Rhinolophus ferrumequinum: one gene and its partners. The protein of the gene in region 1 interacts with the protein of each later gene in a pairwise test. Links are inferred from orthologs where the notes say so. Each region holds a gene or a part of one and is shown in the gene's direction. Other genes may lie near its edges.

The links.
Region 2: the proteins of EXOC1 (region 1) and TRIM9 interact in a two-hybrid assay, tested with the Homo sapiens proteins (2 studies listed by BioGRID and IntAct). The link is inferred for Rhinolophus ferrumequinum from reciprocal best matches to the Homo sapiens genes EXOC1 and TRIM9.
Region 3: the proteins of EXOC1 (region 1) and SYBU interact in a two-hybrid assay, tested with the Homo sapiens proteins (2 studies listed by BioGRID and IntAct). The link is inferred for Rhinolophus ferrumequinum from reciprocal best matches to the Homo sapiens genes EXOC1 and SYBU.

The regions. Positions count from the first base shown.
Region 1 is NC_046288.1:17,845,877-17,853,881, forward strand, and holds the start of EXOC1 (exocyst complex component 1), read left to right. Parts: upstream 1-4,783; 5' UTR 4,784-5,086; intron 5,087-8,005.
Region 2 is NC_046289.1:41,274,127-41,281,607, forward strand, and holds the start of TRIM9 (E3 ubiquitin-protein ligase TRIM9), read left to right. Parts: upstream 1-4,283; 5' UTR 4,284-4,828; coding exon 4,829-5,650; intron 5,651-7,481. UniProt on the Homo sapiens protein: E3 ubiquitin-protein ligase which ubiquitinates itself in cooperation with an E2 enzyme UBE2D2/UBC4 and serves as a targeting signal for proteasomal degradation.
Region 3 is NC_046297.1:50,072,352-50,079,696, reverse strand, and holds the start of SYBU (syntabulin), read left to right. Parts: upstream 1-4,147; 5' UTR 4,148-4,223; coding exon 4,224-4,283; intron 4,284-4,442; exon of another isoform or gene 4,443-4,461; intron 4,462-4,660; coding exon 4,661-4,747; intron 4,748-4,817; exon of another isoform or gene 4,818-4,839; intron 4,840-5,263; exon of another isoform or gene 5,264-5,401; intron 5,402-5,896; exon of another isoform or gene 5,897-5,917; intron 5,918-6,034; exon of another isoform or gene 6,035-6,227; intron 6,228-6,553; coding exon 6,554-6,755; intron 6,756-7,345. UniProt on the Homo sapiens protein: Part of a kinesin motor-adapter complex that is critical for the anterograde axonal transport of active zone components and contributes to activity-dependent presynaptic assembly during neuronal development.

The DNA.
Region 1 (8,005 bases):
ATAACAGTAGAAGCTCTTCTGTCATGCTGTCACTGCTACAGCAATTTATAGAGAAAGAATATGGAAAGTGGGTCACTGTGATTCTCACTGTTCTAAAAAACAAACAAACAACAACAAAAAAAACTTGATGTTCTTTGTTTTGATACTAATAGTCTGATAACATCTGAAAAGATTTTTCATGTCTTAGATAGGAATGTGCATAACTGAATTACAAGAAAACACTGCTTAAAAAATTTTAAAAAAGAAAAACAAACTAACTGATGTAATAAAAGTCCACATAATTAGGAATAAAGAAAAAGTAGAATTATATGAACCCATATGATTTCTTCAAACATATAAAGACCCTTGACCTCATACTCAAATTGAAACCAATCAGACTTAAATTAAGGGAGAGTTTTGACCACGGTCAAAGTAGGTTGTGTGAAAGCCCACTTCTGTGAGATCTATGGGGTTTTCTCACTAAACAAATACACAAAGCCAGGTGCGCTACCCGTCCATTGGTGCTTCATCAGGCAGAACCCTGGAGACAGTAGGACACTTCTTCCTTCCTGCTGGCTTTCAAGCTAAGGAAAATGGACTCCCTTTTTCCCTCAAGTTACCAAATGAGTGTGGTTACTCTGAGTGCTCTGCGATCATCAAGTTTCCACAAACTCCACACCTCTGCTTGATCGATATACTGTATTGAGTCATTTCTCTAAGGAAACATTAACTTCAGTAATCCTGCCAGTATTGTTAAATCATCAATATTCACCACTCTTGGCCATTTAGAAGAGCTTTTCCCTTGGAGCTTATTAACAATGGAAAAAATATTTCATGCTATCCGAATATGAGATTGCCTCATACATGATATATGTTAACATGTACAGCCTTCTGTCTATGAAAGGGAAACAGGACCTCAGGGCCTGAGTGACTATTATATGTTTTTTAAGGACATAAATCTATCCAGTTCACTCTTCTAAACTAAATGGCATGTAATAATAGCTACCATTTGAGTGCTTGCTATGTGCCAAGCGATGTGCCAAGGGCTTTATAAGAAATAGCAAATTGCATGAGAGTCCCAAAAGATGGGGATTATTTTTAATTTTAAAAATGAGGAAACTGGGGCTCAGAAGAGGTAAATAACTTGCCCTGTGGTCAATGAACCAATAAAGACCAGATTTAAACCCAGGTCTTCATGGCCCCAGTGGCCATGTACTTTCCACTATTTTAAGTTGCTTCCCAAGTCTATACGTGCAGATGACTGTGGTAAGATAAAGACATAGTCATTGAAATACTACTATGTGTGCCTCCTATTTGTCCTTAGGCTAAAGAATTAATTATTCTATGCCTCCATTTATTAGTCTTTAAAATGAGGATAATAAAGATTCCTGCCTTATGGGGTTGTTGTGAGGACTAAATTAGTCAATATAAAGTGCTTAGAATAGTACACTGAACATAATAAGAGCATTGGTATGAGTTCTAGGAACAGGGAATACACCAAAGAACAAAAAGACAAAAGTCCTTGCTCTCAAAAGCCATTCTAGAGAAAGGGAAAGAGCAAATATACTAACCAACAAACAAATAACATATACATCAGGATGTAATGTCATAGTATGTCAAGATGTAATAAGAAGCACGAAGAAAACAAAGCAAAAAAGAAAGATAAAGAATACTACCTTAAATAGGGCTATCATGAAAGACCTCAATGAGGTAACACGTGGGTGAAGGCTTGAAAGGGATGCAGTCATGAGCCATGCAGATATTTAATGAAAAATCATTCCAATCCAAGAATACTATGAAGGACTATATGCCACCAAATTCAATAACCTAGAAGAAATGGACAAGTTCTTAGAAACATACAGCCTTCCTAGGCTGAACCATGAAGAATTGGAAAATCTAAATAGACCGATCACCAGTAATGAAATTGAATCAGTCATCCAAATCCTTCCCAAAAGCAAAAGTCCAGGACCAGATGCCTTCACTAGAGAATTCTACCAAACCTTCAAAGAGGATCTAATACCAATCCTGCTCAAACTCTTCCAAAAAACTGAGAAAGAGAAAGTAGTCCCTAACTCATTTTATGAGACCAACATTACCCTGATACTAAAACCTGGTAAGGATAACACAAAAAAAGAAAACTACAGACCAATATCTCTGCTGAATACAGATGCAAACATCCTAAACAAAACTCTAGCAAATCGAATGCAGCAATACATTAAAAAGATTATTCATCACGACCAATTGGGGTTCATCCCAGGGGCACAAGGATGGTTCAACATACCAAAATCCATCAATGTGATACATCACATAAACAAAATAAAGTACAAAAATCATATGATTGTATTAATTGATGCAGAAAAAGCATTTGACAAGATACAACATCCATTTATGATTAAAACACTTAATAAGGTAGATATAGAAGGAAAATACCTTAACATAATAAAGGCCATATATGACAAGCCCTCTCAGCTAATCTCATAATTAACAGTGAAAAACTGAAATTCTTTGCTCTACGTTCAGGAACACGACAGGGCTGTCCCCTATCACCTCTGCTTTTCAACATAGTGTTAGAGGTCCTTGCCAGAGCAATCAGGCAAGAGAAAGAAATAAAAGGCATCCAAATTGGGAATGAAAAAGTTAAATTGTCACTCTTTGCAGATGACATGATGCTATATATAGAAAACCCTAAAGACTCCACCAAAAAGCTAGTAGAAACAATCAACGAATACAGTAAAGTTGCCAGCTACAAAATCAACGTACAAACTCCATTGTATTCCTATATACTAACAATGAAATCTCAGAAAAAGAAATACAAAAAACAATTCCTTTTGCAATTGCAGCAAAAAGAATAAAATACCTAGGAAGAAACTTAACAAAGGATGTGAAAGACCTATATGCTGAAAACTACAAGACATTTTTAAAAGACATTGAAGAAGACACAAAGAAATGGAAAGATATTCCGTGCTCATGGATTGGAAGAATCAACATAGTTAAAATAGCCATATTACCCAAAGCAATATACAGATTTAATGCAATCTCCATCAAAATCCCAATGGTATTTTGTAAAGAAGTAGAACAAAAAATCATCAGATTTGTTTGGAACCACAAAAGACCCCGAATAGCCAAAGCAATCTTAAGAAAAAAGAATAATACTGGAGGTATCACACTCCCTGACTTTAGCTTGTACTACAGGGCTACAATAATCAAAACAGCATGGTATTGGCAGAAAAACAGACACATAGACCAATGGAATAGAATTGAGAACCCAGAAATAAAACCACATAAATATGGACAGATAATTTTTGACAAAGAAGCAAAAAACATACAATGGAGAAAAGACAGACTCTTCAATAAATGGTGCAGGCAGAATTGGATAGCCACGTGCAAAAGAATGAAACTGTCACCATGTACCAAAATTAATTCAAAATGGATCAAAGACTTAAGCATAAGACCTGACACAATAAACTGCATAGAAGAAAACATAGGTACTAAACTTATGGACTTTGGGTTCAAAGAGCATTTTATGAATTTGACTCCAAATGCAAGGGAAGTAAAAGCTAAAATAAACGAATGGGACTATATGAAACTTAAAAGCTTCTGCACAGCAAAATAAACCATCGACAAAATAAAGAGGCAACCAACTGAATGGGAGAAGATTTTTGCAAACAGTGCCTCCGATAAGGGGCTAATATCCAAAATATACAAGGAACTCATGCAACTCAACAAAAAACAAACAAACAACCCAATTGAAAATTGGGCAGAGGACCTGAAGAGACATTTCTCCAAAGAGGACATACAAATGGCAAATAGACATATGAAAAAATGCTCAACAACACTAATCATCAGAGAAATGCAAATAAAAACCACAATGAGATATCACCTCACCCCAGTCAGAGTGACTACCATCAACAAGACAAATAGTAACAAGTGTTGGAGAGGCTGTGGAGAAAAAGGAACCCTCATACACTCTTGGTGGGAATGCAGACTGGTGCAGCCATTATGGAAGGTAGTGTGGAGGTTCCTCAAAAAATTACGAATAGAATTATCATATGACCCAGCAATCCCTCTCCTGGGTATCTATCCAAAAAATCTGAAAACATTTATCCATAAAGACACTTGTGCTCCAATGTTCATTGCAGCTTTGTTTACGGTGGCCAAGACATGGAAACAACCAAAATGTCCTTCGATAGATGAATGGATAAAGAAGTTGTGGTATATATATACACTGGAATACTATTTGGCTGTAAAAAAAGGTGAAATAGGACCATTTGTGACAACATGGATGGATCTTGAGAATATAATGCTAAGCGAAATAAGTCAGACAGAAAAAGCAGAGAACCATATGATTTCACTGATATATGGTATATGAACCAAAAACAACAAAAGAACAAGACAATCAAATGAGAAGAAAAAACTCATAGACACAGACCATAGTTTAGTGGTTACCAGAGGGAAAGGGGGAAGGGGGGGCGGGAGATGAGGGTAAAGGGGATCAAATATATGGTGATGGAAGGAGAACTGACTCTGGGTGGTGAACACACAATGGGATTTATAGATGATGTAAAACAGAATTGTACACCTGAAATCTTTGTAATTTTACTAATAATTGTCACCCCAAAGAACTTTAAAAAAAAAATGAAATGAAATAAATCTCCAGGTCCCAGGTCAGTCTCCAAGCGAGAGGCCCCGCCCCTGCCTGTCCTTGACACGCCCTCCAGCGAGACCTTGCCCCGCCTCCCCACGCCTATCACCATTCCACCGGATAGACTTCCGGCGCGGAGGTTTGTCACATGGCCGGATATGGGAAGTAGTGGTGGAACGGTTGCTTCCGGTTCACCGCTCCATTGAGGGGCACATCTTAGTATCGGTGGCCGCCCCGCCGCATCTGGTCTCTGTCTTGGAACAGCCGCCTCGGCCCAGCCTGGCTGGGTCGCGCCTTGCGGTAAGCCTTGGGCCGCGGCTGCCAGTAGTGCCGGCGGCGGCGGACAGACGAGCGGACTGGCGGGCGCCATGGTCTGAGGAGGCTCCTCAGTTCCCCTAGTGGCTCTTCTCCCGGGGTCTACCTCCCTCCGTTATCAGCCGTCCCTTCCTTTCCCCGCCTGTCTGGGTAAGGCGCAAAGCCCGCTCGTAGCACCTCAGCTCTTTGCTGTCCTGGGGCTTGGGAGAACAATCCTCACGTACCTCTTTATGGATCCGCCCATAGCAACCATGTTTTCTTTGGGCAAAACGGCCCTGATCATTTGCTCTTCGGCGTGGACCGGGAGAGGAGGGCGTGACAGTGCCTTCTCCTTTGTCCAAATCCACATTTCCTGCTAAATGTCTGGCGTACATTTCCCTGTGTCCGTGCACAGTTTTCTCTTCTGGATGACAGGGCTCCACGCGTTGAGACGTCTTGAGAGCATACGGGGCCCAATCCACATAGGTACTCACATGGACCAGCTACTTGTCATGCAATGTAAGGTCCGACTGAATGTAAGGAAACAGGAACCGACACAGAGGAAGCCGTGTGTGCCTGCCTCTGGAATGTGGTCAGACATGGATTCTTAAATCTGGAAGATAGGTTTAGAGGATCTCTAGTGACGTGTTCATTGACTTAAGAGAAAAGTACTCTAAAGCCTGTAGAGTTAATCACTGCACCCTTAAAATGTAAGTGCGGTGGGGGGTCTTCATGAACATGTCTGTCATATTCACCGCTGTAACTTAGAGCAGTGCCTCCCACTTAGTAGACATCAGTATTCACTGAATGAATGGGGGTCCTGTAGTGGCTCTCATTATGCCTAACTCCTTTATGAGGGATTCCCAGGCCTCCCTTTTCCCCACTTACTATACAATCAGTTGTACTTTTAACCAAGGAGGGATTGTGTGGTAAATGTTGACCACTAACAATCATTCATTTGACCAGTTTTTACTATTCAATTGAGGTTACCTCAAGAGGTATTTGTTAGGTACCTACTAAGAAAGAACATAAAACTATGCCCGAGTGTCTCTCTCTCCTCCTGGATTTCTCTCTCTCTGTCTCTCTCTTTCAAGAAAGTTCTCGAGATCCACAAACTTAGGATTTCATGAAGCAATTAGACAGCAAGTGCTTGATTGATTAGTTAATACAGTAAGTGTTATAGCAATTGAGAGGAGAGATCAATTTGGATGAAGATCTTTATTGAATCAACTTCATATAAACCATGAAGTGTAATTTGGGTTTGGATATGGAAAAGCACCTAAGCAAAGACTTAAATACCAGAATGAATGAGAGGGTTTGGAGTGGGAGGTTTGTATTTGGGAACTTGAGTGAAACACTGAGCATGTTGTGATGAAAGCTGTTTTAATATTACTTGTTTGTGGAGGGACTTGGAGTTGTGGAAGCTTGCAAAGAGATAATCAGATACTGTAGTGTTAAATATAGTTGATGTGAACCTGGGTTAGTGTGTTGGCAGTGGGAACAGAATGGAAGGACAACTTATGTGTAGATGAGGCGAAATCAACAGAATGTGGTAGCAAATTTCATGTTGTCAATGGAGGAGGAGAATCAAATATGACAGATTTTGAACCTGGACATTTGCTTACAGATGTGAGAGTGGGAAAGGGGGAATCTTAGAGAAGCAGCAGTTATCATGTTATTTGGTACTATCATTTTGGTTAATTTATTAAATGCCTGCTACATCTTTGCCAAATTAGAACTTTGCCAAGTTCTAATAATACAAAGATAAGTAATAATACAAAGATAAGTAAGCTCCTTGTTTGCCTACAAGGAGCTACTTTTCATACAACTAACTAGAATATATCACTTAAAAGTGGTATGTTAGCAAAGTAGAGAGGAAATGTTAGAGCAGTAGTAAGGGAATTATTGTTTTTGTGTGTGTGACGGCTTCACAGAAGAGATAACATTTTAGCAGGACTTTTGAGGGATGAGTTGGAATTTCCCAGGGAGTTAAGAATTCCAAGAAAAGGAAATTGCATGAACAAAACTCAGAGATAGGAAACTGACCAGTATCTTGTGTAGCTTGGGCATAGAATGGAGTAGAGCTTTTAACATAGTGTGTAGGTCGTAGAACATACTAAAGAATTAATAACAGGGATATTTTGTAATAGGCAGAATGGAGTGAAGATGTAGAGAGGGAGAGGAAAGCAATTGGGGAAAATTCTACTTCATGGCTTCTGTATTCTCTGCAGAGTAAATGGTGAAGTTCATTTGCAGAGAGGTAGGAGGTAGACACTGGAGTTGGGGGTTGAAAGAATAAGCATTTGCAACAACATTGATGGGGAGTAGGAAGAGGAATCATTGAAGGAAATGTTCAAGGATTGCTGAGCAACACTGAAAGTTTAGCTTTGACTGGTCTTAGACATTTGTAATGAATGCAGTGAAGAAGGACATATGGCCTTCTTAAACAGCATTCGTTAGCCCAAGAGAAGTGGAGAGTGGAAATTTGTAACAGGGAGAACTGGTCTACAAACAGAGCAAAATAATTGAAGGAGTAATAATAAAAATGTGGGTGTAGAGAAATGAACACTGCTTCCAGGCTAGGTTGGAAAAGAAATTAAGCTGGAGGCCAGATGGGCAAAGAGAATAGGAAGGAGAGGGAGGTCAGAGGACTAGAGGCTGAGATGCGGTGAAACAGGGAAGATCTGATTTTTGTGCGAAAATTTTTTGAGTTGGAACAGAGATCAACTTTTCACAGATTGAGAAAAATAGAGGAGATACCTAGTTTGCAAGTGTCATTTTGTTATAAAAATTCATTGTAAGTCATTTATTTAAAACTCATAATTTATTTTCCCATAGATATGGTGTTAGAAGTAGAATTTCCTAAGCGAGCTCACACATGAAATACTACATTTCCTTCGGAAAATAGTAATACACCCACACGCGTGCGCGTGCACACACACAGATTATGTATATATATAGATTGATATATATATATTCTATATATACAAGTAAGCTCCTTGTTTGCCTACAATTGAATATATATATTCTATATATATATCAATCTATATATTCTATATATATATTCAAAAAATAAAATTGAAAAGGGAT
Region 2 (7,481 bases), on another chromosome or scaffold:
TTGGAAGTGTATGGGGAAGCTTAAAGGAGAAAGTAGCTATGATTTCAAATAAAGATAGAGTATGTAATGTAAGGTCATATTAACACTATAACAGCAAATATAAAGTAGAATTCCAAAATAGAAGATCTGAAACATAATAGATGCTTCTAAATTCTGGTATATGACAATGACGATTAGATAGGAGAAAAGGTATTACAAGTACAAGGGCTCACACTTCTTCAGAAATTACCTCAAAATTCTTCTAAAAATATTTATTAGATGTTTTTGAAATTATAACATGCTTATTATAAGAAATGAAATAACCTAGTTCAAAGTTGTTTAATGATGTGTGCATATAGAGGGTGGACCTCTACCAGGTTAACCAGTACGAACTTCAGAGGAAAGAGCAATTCCTGGAATTGTAATACAAACAAGTCTCCTTACCTATCTTGAAGATTTCTTTTTTCCTTAAAGAGTTCAAGAATTGTATCTGTATATGCTGTCTTTTTTCATCAAGATTATTTGTAATTCTAAAATCCTTTCAATCTGTAACCTCAGATCTTTCTTTGATTCAGGAAATTATTTTTTCAATTGTGATTTTTTTTTCTTCCATCTGTGCCTTTTCCTATTCTGGGATTCCTGTTATTCACAAGTTGGGTCTCCTGGATTTATCCTCCAACTCTCTTAAATACAAGATTCATTAAACCTCCATCTTTCCAGTTTCCTGTCTACCCTTTCCAAAGTTTTAGTAATAAAATATTTATAGTTAGAAATACTACAGAATTTGGATAAGGTCATCTACCAGTACTAAATGGGCAAAACACTCTTACTACAATAATTGCATAATTAAAAGACAAAGGAATATCAACAATAAATAAATATGAAAATTATTAAAGGATGTCACAAATATAGCAAGCATAAAATTAAATAATAATGGGCTAAATGACCCCATAAAAAGTTTGCTCAGAATTTCTTTTGAAATAGAACATCACCCCAATCGCTTTTCAAATAATATAAATTTCACAAAACACATTCAGCAATATCATTAATCACAAACTAAATACAGAATATTTTTATCTGTGTCTGAGAATCTTAAAGGGCCAGCACCTACAATCAGCTCCTTTCATTGATTTTTCCTGCTGCACTAAAGATTGGTGGCTCTAGGAGAGCATGAAGGGAGATGGGAGAGAATTCTTTCTTCTCTGAGTGTTCGTTCTTTAGAATCAAAAAGACTGTTGTGTTAATAATTAAGCATTGTAGTCAGAAAATAGAAACCCACCTAAATTTTTCATTGGTAAACATTTGTTTAAAAAAAATGGAAATACTGCTAGAACATTTTAAATTTGCTCCGCTCATTGCTAAAGAACATTGTTTGGGTGAATAATTTACTAAGTTTCAGAGGATAATCAGGCACTTGACACAAATGAGAACATCTGCAGTCTCTGCAGGAGTAATGAAATTACAGGGCTATCAATCCTTGTGCTTCAGGGCATGGGCTGATCACCAGCTGGAAGAGAGAAGATATCCCCTAGTATTTCTATAATATCATCAATTACATTCTGATGTTTATTTCCCTTTAAATACAACTCATGGGTGGGGGCAGTTTGAAAGTACATTATGGCCAAATAGTGCAACATGAAGGGAAAATCTTCAAAAGTTTACAGAAATATTTTAAAGAAATTATTATTTTTTTAAATTCCAGGGAAAGTAAGCAGAATAGCATAGAAATTAACAAAGATCATTTTGGGTATTTTATCACACACAGAGCCTGACAGAGAGTAGAACTCAGCGTTTGTTGAATGAATGAATGAATGAATGAATGAATGAACAAAGAAACAAACTTTCATGTGCCTGGGTTCAAATCCCAGCCTCACCAATATTCGACCTTGAGCACTTTGCTTATCTTAGTTTACTCATCTTTAAAATGGAGATAAGTGTACCTACCTCATCTTTTTATTACAGGGACTGAACTAGGTAATGCATGTAAATAAATAAACCCATTGCCTAGAGCAGAGTGAACACACAATAAAAACCAGTCATATTAAGGGCTCTCTTGGGATTGATATGTCTAATTCCTGAGGTCTAACAAATCATCTCAATATATTTCATAATAGATCAAATCTTTGCATATTGGCTATATTATAAATCTGTATTCTATTGAGTCTCTGTGGAAACCAAAAGCATATTACATCACAGACATTCCCTAAGACTATCCCTTATTCTGAACTAAGCATGAGCTTTGTGCTAATAAGCAGACCTCTTAGATGGTGTCTTCATCAGTTTGGGCTGCGGTAACAAATTGTCACAGACTGGGTAGCTTATAAACAACGGAAATTTATTTCTCACAATTCTGAAGTCTGGGAAGTATAAGATCAAGGTGCTGGCAGATTTGGTATCTGATGAGGACCTGTTTTCTCACAGGGTGGAAGGCACAAGGGAGCTTTCTTGGGCCACTTTTATAAGAGCACTAATCCCATACATGGAGGCTCTTTCCCCTGTGACCTAATCCGCTTCCAAAGGCGCCACCTCCTAATACCATCGCACTGGGGATTAGCATTTCAGGATATGAATTTTGGGGAGACACAAAAATTTAATCTATAGCAGATGGTATACTGTGATAAGCAAAATTCAAACTCATAAAAAGAGTAATAGCTGCTCACTTTGAAACGTCCAAAGCCTTGGCCCAAGGTTACTGTGACTTTGGGCCAAATGCATACGAAAGTCATAGAAAGAGTTGTAAATTAGGAGCAGTACTGACAATTCTTCCTAACAGTTTCTTAATACTTACCTGCCTGTTATTAGCAAATTTTCTTGGGACTCCTAAATTAGGTGTATCCTGCAGATACAGATAACGTTCCAAACCCAAACAAAGAAATTCTATGTAAACAGAGTACATATGCCTTTGGATATTCTGGATGCAACTAGCTAAAAGACAGGTTAAAAGTAAATTTTATAGCATTTGTGATAACATAACTTTAAATAACAATGAGAACATTTACCCCCAGTAATCAAGTGCTGTTGTTTGTTATTTTTATAAATTTTTACTGGGGAATATTGGGGAATAGTGTGTTTTTTCCAGGGCCCATCAGCTCCAAGTCAAGTCGCTGTCCTTCAGTCTAGTTGTGGAGGGCACAGCTCACTGGCCCATGTGGGAATCAAACTGGCAACCCTGTTGTTAAGAGCTGGAGTTCTACACAACTGAGCCATCCCGCTGCCCTCAAGTGCTGTTTTCATTGTAACTGAAAAGAGTGTTGGAGGGATAACCTAGTTTATTGGACTATTTTTCCAAGGGCAAGGTTATAAAAAGTCTTTTTTTCTGGGCAATAAAGTGGTTTTAAATTTAAAATGTAGCTGCATATCATCAAATTATCTTTTTTGAGAGATGGAAAATTAGAAGATTTCTTAGAACTTTGAGTTCTTGTTATTTATTTCATGAATCACTCAGCAAAAGGCAACCGTTTCATGAGTTACTACCACAGAATGTCATTATGTCACTTGACTTAACGATTTTTCTTTCTTTTTGTTCTCTATCATGAAATCAACAGTTCTGCTGGCAAGGGGCAGGACCAGATCTCTCCAGCAATGTTTGGGGAGAGGGAGGAGAAGGATGCTTAATATATGAGAACTAACACTAGGAAACCCCCACATCCCCCCACCCCCCATGGTCACTTAAGGAAACAGAAAGAACCCAGCATTCTAAGCTGTGGTAAATGCTCAGGCCACGTGACACCGAATAATGCCGTTTGGAGTCAAATACTGGGGCTCCTCATTAACACCGTGATTCATCTGGAGCTAGTTACTCAACTATGGGCCCTCAGGAATGGGCAATCCTTTCCTGCCTCAGCTGAACCAAAGGTCCTGCTGGCCTTGTGAAAGCTCAGTCAGACGCTGAGAGCCGGATGAGGACAAGCTTTGGGAGGCAGGGAGAGTGAAGAGGGGACCGAAGCACGTTCACACCATACGGTAGGAAGCCACTGGGCTAGCCCGAAGTGAAAGCGGGAAATGAATGGGGCACAGATTTGAACCAATGTACTGAGCCTTTACATAGGTCACGTGGTTTAAATCTCTAGGAAGCCGATACCATTAGACATCAGGGAGTGAGAGGGAAAGACGCTAAGAGGCTCTTGCCAGGGCTCCTGCACGGCGCCCTCAAACTCCCGGAAGGGGAGCGCCAGGGGCAAGCTTCAGCGGGTTCATGAGGAGGACAAAAGCCCGGCTGCCACACAGAAACGTAGGCCTGAGTGAGGACCAGTCAAGGCTGCCAGCAGCGGAAGGATAAGGTCGGCGCAGAGACCATAGCTGGAAGCCAAACGCAGACTGCTGGCGAGAAGCGCCAGCCCACTCGCTGCGCGGAGGGGTTTCTCACGCCCCCTGCTCCTGGGTGACTGCACCGGAGGTCGGAAGGAAGGGGGGCGAGGGATGAGTCATCCCGCCTAATACCTTCTTCCGGGTCCCTTCGCCAACGCACGCCAGCCCCCTCCCGAGATCATGCAGCGGGGAGCAAAGACTCCGCTCATCCTCAGTCCTCCACCAAACCCCCTGTGGCCTGCGGAGGAGAGGAGAAGAACGGGGCGTGTGGCCAATGAGAGCTTCGCTCCGTCGCTGCTGTCCAATGGGCGGGACCTAGGCGGGCAGGAGGGGGCGGTCCCGGGGTGGCGCTCAGCCCCGCGGTGCTGTAGCTCACCGAGAGCGGTTCACAGGGAGTCCGCGCCTCGGCTACGCGAAGAGGCGCCGCCGCTGCCACCGCCGCCGCTGCTGGCCAAGGTGCTGGACACGACAGGCCGGTGGCCACCTCGCCAGCTCAGCCACCCGTTGCAGCCGCCGCTGCCTTGCTCCCAGCCGGGTCCCCATGGAAGAGATGGAAGAAGAGTTAAAATGCCCCGTGTGCGGGTCCTTCTATCGGGAGCCCATCATCCTGCCCTGCTCTCACAATTTATGTCAGGCGTGCGCCCGCAACATCCTGGTGCAAACCCCGGAGTCTGAGTCCCCCCAGAGCCGTCGGGCCTCAGGCTCCGGTGTCTCCGACTATGACTACCTGGACCTGGACAAGATGAGCCTGTACAGCGAGGCGGACAGCGGCTATGGTTCCTACGGGGGTTTCGCCAGCGCCCCCACTACCCCGTGCCAGAAGTCCCCCAACGGCGTCCGCGTGTTTCCCCCGGCTATGCCTCCACCGGCCACCCACCTGTCACCGGCCTTGGCCCCAGTGCCCCGCAACTCCTGTATCACCTGCCCCCAGTGCCACCGCAGCCTCATCCTAGATGACCGGGGGCTCCGCGGCTTCCCCAAGAACCGCGTCCTGGAAGGGGTAATTGACCGCTACCAGCAGAGCAAAGCCGCGGCTCTCAAGTGCCAGCTCTGCGAGAAGGCGCCCAAGGAGGCTACCGTCATGTGCGAACAGTGCGATGTCTTCTACTGCGATCCGTGCCGCTTGCGCTGCCACCCGCCCCGGGGGCCCCTAGCCAAGCACCGCCTGGTGCCCCCGGCCCAGGGCCGCGTGAGCCGACGGCTGAGCCCGCGCAAGGTTTCCACCTGCACAGACCACGAGCTTGAGAACCACAGCATGTACTGCGTGCAGTGCAAGATGCCCGTGTGCTACCAGTGCTTGGAGGAGGGCAAACACTCCAGCCACGAAGTCAAGGCTCTAGGGGCCATGTGGAAACTGCACAAGGTGAGTCCTAAGAAAACCCTGCCCTAACTCCCCGCGCCTCCGATCCTCCAGTTTTGCAGCATAAAGTCCTCTTCTTTTGCGCACAGTGCATCCCAGCTGGGGCGCAATGCAGGTGCCTACAATATTTGCTTCCCCCGTATGGTGCATTGCAGGAATCGCAGGGTGATCTTAAACCACGTACTGGGGAGTTGACTGTCCCCACAGAGTTGTTGCGGGGGTGCTTTAGAGCAGGTCTCCCCGGGCGCGCAGCTTGCGAGGTAGGCGCAGGACGCCCCCTCTCCGCTGCGGATGTGCAGCTCGCGGCTGAGGGCCAGCATGCAGGAAAGCGTTGCGTGACTGGGTAGAGCGGCGCCAGTGCCCTACTAGGCCGACAGTGCCCCTCCAAGGCCGACAGTGCCCCTCCAGAGCAGAGCCGGCTGCGGGGCTCTGGCCGTGGTCCCCGGGAGACGGTGGGGGAGGTTGGGTGGTGCGGACCGCCGGGGGCTGGAGCTGTTAGGCAGGCGCGATGAGTCACCGCCAGGGCGGGAGAAACGCGGCGGGAGGAATATTGATGAGTTCTCGCTGGCCCAGACCCTGCGAACCAGCTAGAGGGGTTGCGAGTCGAGGTGCTATGCTCTCAGGAGGCAGAGGAGTGGGGTGGGGAAATCCTATGGTCGCCTTGGCAACACGGCTTGCAGGCTGCTATCCTAATCCTCCCGGAGGGGACCTGTGGCTGGAATACGTAGCAGCAGGACCGAAGATTTCTGTGTGGTCGAGGCCTGAAAGCTAGTCAGGCGTGTCTTCCAGGGTAACCCCCTCCTCCCAAACACCCACACACCCATTTGTCTGGGAGTCAACCCTTTTCCTCTTTCAGGAGTTGTCTGTGCAGACTTTCAGACACCTGTTACCGGATTTATCTTTCCGGTCTTTTCTGATGGCGCCTACACCAAAGCTCGCTTCAAGAAAAGTGCCTTTAACGTTGTAGGTCATGCCACTCCTCTACTCAAAATCCTCCAATCATCCCCCGTGTTTCTCAGGCAGTCCTTAGAAGGGTCCATCAGGACCTACGGGACCTGTTCCTCTTTGGCCTCATCAACCTCATTTCCTCCCACCCATTCCCTCTGCTCCAGCCACAGTGTCCCTCTTGCTGTTCCCCAACCAACACCAGGTACCTCTGGCCCCAGGGCCTTTGCATTGATGTTCCGTCCACCTGAGATGCTCTTCCCCAAAATCTTATATACATATCCAATTGGCTCACTCTCTCACCTCCTTCAGATCTTTGCTCAGATGTCTTCTTTGCCACAATTGCTAACTTTCCTGAACACAATTGCTGCCACTCACCTCAAACACTCGTTAGTTCCCTCCCTGCTTTTTCTCAATAGTAGTTACCACTACCTGGCATGTATATAGTTTAGTGATCATGTGGTTTTGTATATCTATTGCTTCCCTCCCTGTTCCCCCCACTGGAAAATAAGCTTCAAGAGGAAAGAGATCTTTATGTTATGCCAACATGCTTGGAAGGAAGGGAAGCACTCTTGAGATGTGCCTTAATTTGACTTCTACTTTTTAAATAATCCACTTAGTTGGGGGTGTGAAGGGAAGGGCAGGAGTTTAGGATTCTTCTAGGGAGGGTTTCTTCACATCATTTAATTGTAAGCCTAAGGATAAGGCAGGCAGTAAAGATGGTGTTCAGCCATTCCCTGGAGACTGGAAAGCCTAGCTTTTAAGAGAGGCCATTGATATTTTATTTACAGAGAGAGAAAAAAAAGCACCATTTTCAGCAATCAGGAAGGTTTTCTCAACTCAATATTAATTGAATGTGATTCACGTTTACAGTCATTTGTGTTCTTAC
Region 3 (7,345 bases), on another chromosome or scaffold:
TAATTTCAATCATTATAATCTGTCCCAATAAGTCTACACCTGCTTATTCAACCATGTGTCTTCAGTTTGTTCAATACAATCAAATCACCATACCTATATGTTTGGCTAGTATCTTTCCTATCCGCACAAATGGACAAAAGGCCATAAACAGCAGACAGCATTTTTGGAGGGTTACCTCATGTCTACTTCCTCATCAGGCAAGCAGAAGACTGTATCCTTATCAGTCTTCAAAGGCCCCAACCTCTGCCTTCTCACCTGGACTTGCCATTAATTCCTGTTCTTCATCTGGGAGATACCTCTGACTGAAAATTCATTTGTAGAGCAGAAATAATTGACACACTCTGAACCCAATGGGTGTTAAAGCCAGCCTTGCCTCACGGTACGCACTCCCCTCTCTACCCCTCGTCGGGGAGTGATGTTGCAGAATTCTACTCACGACAGTTTTACAACATCAAAATCCTTTAACCATATAGTAACAATACATACAATAAGAGGAGGGTTGACCACTCACACATGTTTTTATGGGAAAATGGACAGCGCTTTCCCTGGTAAGAAAAGCATAGGTCTGCACCCTACCACAAAAAAAAAAAGAAATCCCAGGATGCCCCAGAGTGCAGTTTCTTTTCTTCATGACGTGTTGTAAAGCACGTCAGCTGCTTGTTGTTGCTGTGCAGATCACACAACATCGGGTCACTGAGAGAGACAGCAGTGCTTGCTCGCACAGCTTGTAGGATTAGGAGATGGTGCTTTGTCGGCCCTGACTGAGTCCCAGAAAGCCCCCAGTATACTCAGGTGAGCTGTGAGGAAGAGTGGATGTGGGGACCACGTTGTCTCGGTTGTATGGTACAGATGTTTTCTCTTTGGCAGTGCATTTGTATTGTCTTTCTGTGAAGTTGGCAGTCAGGGGTGGTGGTGGGGGTGCTCCTGTACATAAAAACCTGTCCTTTATCACTTATCTGGTTTCAGGAATTGGCCACATGCTCCTCACAGGATTTTTGTGAGGTTCAAAGAAGATTATATATGTGAAAGAGATCTAAAAATATAAAGTTGTGTGCAAATGAAAGGTATGAGTCATTTAATTACCAATTTCACATAAAGAATCAAATAATTTATACCAGATTTGGGGGCATAGACACATTTCTTTTCTCCCAATCTGCAATACCCTATCTCCCCTGTTCCTCCCCAGGCCTGGGCAGGGATCTTATTTATAATCTTGAAGAGTTCTAGCCTTCAGAAGCAACTGATACCTTCTAAAAACCAGCATTACATTCATTTCTAAAGGAAAAGCCACAAAGCTACAAAACCAGACAATGAGTATGTAAGTAGACACTGAAAATGACGCATGAGAATGTTGTAAAGCAGATGAAGATGAATATAATATACTGTATTAGATGATATCTCTTTGATGGTATAATCCAGACGTTGTAAGACATTTCTCTTGATGACATGAGAAACACTTGAATGAAACTAAAGGCAACATAGATATTATCATTTGTAAAACTTGCCTTTTAGAACAGTGGAAAAACAGGCTTGGGTTCCAAAAGTACAGAGCTAAGAAGCATTTGAACACTAAATCATCAGCCTTTCCTTCAGCAGGGTTGCTATGGTGACAACAGGGCTACCACACAGCCTCTCACTGCCTGCACTTCTGCAGTAAAAGCTTTCATTGAACACATGTTGGATTTTTTAGGCACATACCCCATCATCAAATACAAAGACATAATGAGGCAGCTTTCCCTGAGTCATTTTCAGAGCAGAAGTTGTGTCTGTTTTCTTTATCCTGTACTGATGGGCCCCTTATGGTGTTATAGAATTCATTCATTCTATGTATTCATTCATTTGACTATTCATGTGACAGGACCTGTACCAGACACTGCCAATAATCCCTGGTGAAGACAGACAAATAAATAGGGAATTCTGATACAAGAGAATAACAGCTCTACTGGGATAAATTAAATACGAGGTGTCCTGGAAGTATGTAAGGGGAGCACCTGACCCTTCTTGGGGAGGTTTCCTGGAAGACGCTATCTCTAACATGAAACTTAATGTAACCTAAGGAGTTGAGAAGGATGGGTGGGTGGGATACAAGAAGGGTTCTAAACAAAAGGACCATCATGTGCAACAGTCTAGAGGAAAAAAGAACAGATACCTCCAGAGAATTGAAAATTCTAGTTTAGGGGTATCCATTTGCAAAGGACCGGTGGGTAGTGAAGGCAGGAGGTGCAGGGTAGAGAGAGAAGAGTGGCAAGAAATGAGATCGGAGAGGTAAATAAGGACAAATCATGAAAGGCCTTTGTGCCACATTAAGGAGTTTGAATATTATGTAGAAGATAACCAGGAAGTTGTTAGTGGGTTTTAATGAAGAAGTATGACATGAAGAAGGGTTTTAACGAAGAAGTATGACAAGGCCTTTGAAAGAAGGCCTTGTGGGGAAAATTTGAAAAACTGGTGAGAAAGGAATGAGGCAAGATTGGAAGCAAGACCACTTGAGTTAGATCACTATTGCAATAATCCAGGATGTTTGTGGTTGAGACTCTAAATGAAGATCATGCAGTTGATCAGTAGACAGAAGTAATCAGATTCAAGACATTATTATTAGGGTAGTGTGGAGATCACGTGGCGATGGCTGCTATCTGGGGGTCACGGGAGGGAGAAGCCAAGAAGGACTCTGAGGTCCTGATTGGACAGGTCAGTGAAGGATGTTTCTGACATTAGGCCGCAAGCCTCAATTCTCAGTTCTTAGTAGGGAATTCAGAAGCACCTTTTGACCTTAACAGTTCATTCCTATCTCACAGTATATGTTCCCAGGCTTATAATTTTGGAAATATTAGGTTGGTGCAAAAGTAATTGTGGTTTAAAGCATTAAAAATAATTGCAAAAACTGCAATTACGTTTGCACCAACCTAATCATAAATTATAGAAGTCATCCTGGACCATCACTTTCCTGACATCCATATCTGAGGACAGCTATGGATATAGAAAGTATAAATTAATCATGCTTTCCTCCCAAATAAAAAAATCCTAGGATCACCAACCCCACTGCTTAAGAGAGCTAAGTAGATTGAAAAGGTATGAAGATGTATGGAGTAAAATTGCTTTGGAAATGTAGGAAAAAGAAATTGATTCCACTAATCCTGACTTCAGGCTCTCTCTAGACTCATACTGTGCATTTGTAGACTTTGAGAATTGAAGACTGAGACAAATGCTATTTGGAGAGCAGAAAAATGGGGATGTTGAAAGTTCAAATACGATTTTTAAGGATCATGCAGGACACTTGGGTGTGAGGATCAGACTGTTCCCACCCATATTGCTACTTAGAATGCTCTCCAATTCTGAATAAATGGCATCTAAGTTATTATACATGTTGACTTCTATCACCAGGTAAGATTTCAGTACACCAAGCAAAATAATAAATCAAGGCCCATGATCCAGCTGATGATTCCTATTCTAAGTCCTCAGTTGGACAGGTTTTGAAGCTTTTTTGAACAAATTGGTCTGTCTCACAAATACTTTTCCTGTCATGTAAGAGGCCTCAGCAAGTAGAATGGACAGCCTGAAGGTGACTTAACTGCCCTTTGGAAATTTCTATTCCGTCTGCTGGGTACAGCTCTTTTGTTTTCCTCATCTAATCCTCACAGCTACCCTTTGAGGTAGATATTATTATTATTATTATTATTATTATTATTATTATTATTATTGAATTTCACGAGAATGAAAATGAATTTCAGAGAGGTCAAGTTCAGAGAGGTCAAAAACTTGAGGCACAAAGATACTCAGCTTGAAAGGAGGGAAGTGGTGCCCCGAACCGGGCTTCATAAATTCAAGTGCAGTGTCCTTCCTGTAGCTGGGTGCCTAGGGCTCTCTCTCTCTCTGGCGGCTGCTGAGCAGAATTGGAGAAAAGGCTGCTCTCGCCCTAAACAGCTTGGCTCCCCAAGCCCGCGGGAACCGCCTCCTCGTTCTTAGCCTGGGGCGCTGCGCTTCCAACCCAAGGCCCTTCTGATGCAAACCACCCAAGGGGAATAGCAAGCAGCCTTTGAGATCCCGGAACCCAGATGCTGTGTCAGTCCTGCAGCACTGGCTTGGCTGGGGTCCGGGTGGAGGGGGACCCGCCCTGTCTCTCTCGGGGGAGGTAATTGTGGGCAGCCGTGTGCTGACTTAAAACCGAGAGGGCAGGGAGGGGCCGTGAGGGAAAACTTTCTCTTTCTCCATTTTGGCTCTCAGTGATGTCGCAGATTTTCTCTGCTCTTCCATCCGACGTGCACCGCCTTCCAACCGGATACCAGGTGCCAAAAAGAGGGTGTCGGGAACCTCCCGGCTGCAGATGCTCCGAGCCTCGCCTGCCCCCTTCGGGTCAGGATCGGCAGAGAGGGAGGGGCGCCTGGCACCTGGGGGAAGTGCCAGCGGCGAAATCGGGCGGGCGGGGTGAACCGAGGCACGGACGGGTCGTTCGGGGGCCGGCAGGTGAGGGAGGTCCGGGGGAACGGGGCGGCGCCCCAGGGGCAGCAGCGGGCGGCGGCGGCACCACGTGTCCGGCCGGGGCGGGGCGGACGGGTGCGCCCTCGCAGCGGAGCGCGAACCGTGGCAGTGGCGGCGGCTCGTCGGACCCGCAGCAGCCGCGTCCTGCACCCCGCGCCAGCTCACCGCAGTCTTCTCGCCCCAGTGCAAGCAGGTGCCTCCTGGACGGCGACAGCGGCGGCGCGGGGAGCCGGAGGGCAGCAGCGCGATGGGACCCCTACGAGAGAGCAAGGTAAGGAAGGCACGTAGTGTGGACGCGGGTGGCAGTGTGCGCGAGAGCTGGAGGGAGAGGGAAGGTGACCACGGCAGGGCGAGAAGGGCCAGGTACGAGCTGGAGGGGTGGCGTTTAGAGTGGGGTAAACGGGGACAGGAGGTGGTGAGGAGGATGGGAAGCGAGGGACATTTGCTCAAGTGATGAGACCCGGGAGATGGGTAGGTGCTTAGGTAGGACAAGATTTGGGGGGTTGACAAGGATTTAAAACATTGCCTTTGGAGGGTTAATCCCATCTCCTGAAATTGGGAATTTGGGATCTAGCTCTGAATTGATGTGTGTGTGTGTGTGTGTGTGTGTGTGTGTGTGTGTGTGTGTGTGATGTGAATAAAAACGTTTTCATGTATTGGTGACTGAGAAATGAGGACTCCGGCATGTCAGCGATCCAGACAGTATTGGTTCAGGGTATGCAGTCTGCCAAGCCCTGTGGCAGACGTGTGATACCTGCTGGGTGACTGATGTGCTTGACAAATCCAGACACTGGGTGCGGCTCTCGCCCCTGGATAGGCTGGATGCCTGAGCAACCTCAGGAGTTCTTCGCGGCTGGGCTTTCCCTTCAGTTCCTGCACTGTGCGGGCCTCCTAGAGATGTTTACTTTGGCAGCGACCCTTCCTGGTAAGCAGCGTGGAAAGGAGCAGGAGGTCATGTTTCAAAATAGTGTTTGTTACCTAATCCAAAACCCATTTTCAATTGCAGAGGTTGGAGGGAGCAGTGGGGTTTTTTGTAAAGAGATCCTCCTAGGAAACCATTTTAATAAGGCAGAGTGGTGGTAACCTGGAAAAGCACTGGAGTTCAGGGCTGTTCTGCATCTAGATGACATGCTGTGTTGGCTAAGCATCTTCACCTCTTTTAGCCTCAGTTTCCTCATCTGTAAATCGGGACACAAATTAGTGTCCTCTCGGTGGTCTGGGTTATAAGGATAAAATAAGATAATGGTTGGGAAAGCACTTTAAAAGTGGAAAAACACTGCCAAAATATTACTTTCATGCATTTCTTTTTAAACCAAGTCACCGCCCTCTATATTTAATGCTGTGGTTTTAAGTAGAGAGGAAAAAAAAATCTATTCTCGTGGGTGTCCTGTAAGGAAAACAAAAGCTAAACATGATGTAAAAGGTGGAGCCATCTTACCGGGTATTGGATTTTTGTTTGCTTTTCTGTTGGCAACAAGCCTTGTGTACCAGGATATTAATGAATAATTAAGATCCTGGCCGGAAGAGGAGGGATTTGAAAGATAAGGCTGCATGATCTATCGGGAAAGAATTGTTCCAGGTACAGGGGTCTACTTTGTGAGGAGATGGGAAAACAGAAGTCAAATTGTTGCAGCTAATTCAGGGACAGCAAAATGGAAGTCTAAAGGAAATCAAGTAGTGTGCTGTGAGTAATAAAAAGCCTTTGAGAGAGCCGAAAGCTTGAATGTGAATGAAAAAACTAGAGCAGGAAGGTGAGTCAGGAATGGCATGGAAGAGTGGGATGGCCTTTCTGCCAGTGGTGGAAGTGTGTGGGCTCGTGTGTGTGTGTGTGTGTGTGTGTGTGTGTCCGTCCATTTTCATCCTTGCTCCAGTGTGTGCTCTTCAGTAGATGAGAAGGGTTAGTTCTGTAGATGAGTTTTGGAGCTCATTTCAGCTACTGAGATAAGAACTACTCTGTGAAGATTCAGTGTTCAGACATGTGATTTCTTAGAAACTGAGCCCACAAGGAGCAGAGAAGTTCGGAGAGGGAAACAAGTTTCTTCTTTTGTTTTCTCTTTTGATGTCCAATTTTGAAAAGGAGCAGAGAGGGCAGCATCATGAGAAGGAGATTTCCCGAAGCCGAATTCCCCGTTTGATTCTTCGGCCCCATCTGCCCCAGCAGCAGCACAAAGTGTCCCCAGCCTCAGAGTCTCCCTTCTCGGAGGAAGAGAGCAGAGAGTTCAACCCCAGCAGCTCTGGGCGGTCAGCAAGGACCATTAGCAGCAACAGCTTCTGCTCAGGTACAGTATCCACGAGAGGCCACACACAGGCATGAAGTGTGTACACTGCAGGTGTGTTGTGAATGGGCCTACATCGGGCCCGGTAGAGCCTAGAACTAGACCTCTATTATTGGGGTGAATTGTCTGTAGTTGCAGCACAACCTTTTGGGTTGTTCTGACCTACAAATACAGCAGTTTCATATGACTCAACCCAGTGGAACTTCACACCTGTTTTTATATGACTCTAGTTTATAATTTACAATGTAAAATCTAACTTCTTGTTTGAAAACAATGTATTCCTGTTATATACATGGACTGTTTAAAAAATGTGTTCCTTTGTTAAATCTGGAAAACGTATAAGCTTGCATTTTTTGCTAGCAACCTTTATAAGCCTGTGGACTTCTATTTATGGAACCCCCAAAGCTAAAGCAACTCCAAAACATCAAGATCAAGGAGGTTTATACCCCAGGACTGGCCTTGTAGTTTAGAGAAAGGAGAAGAGCACAGACTTTGTAATCCTCCAGGCCTTAGCTGATTCCCTGGTCTTTCCACCATTTACAAGCTGTGTGACCTTGGGCAAGTTGCTTAATCTCCTTAAGCCTCAGTTGTTA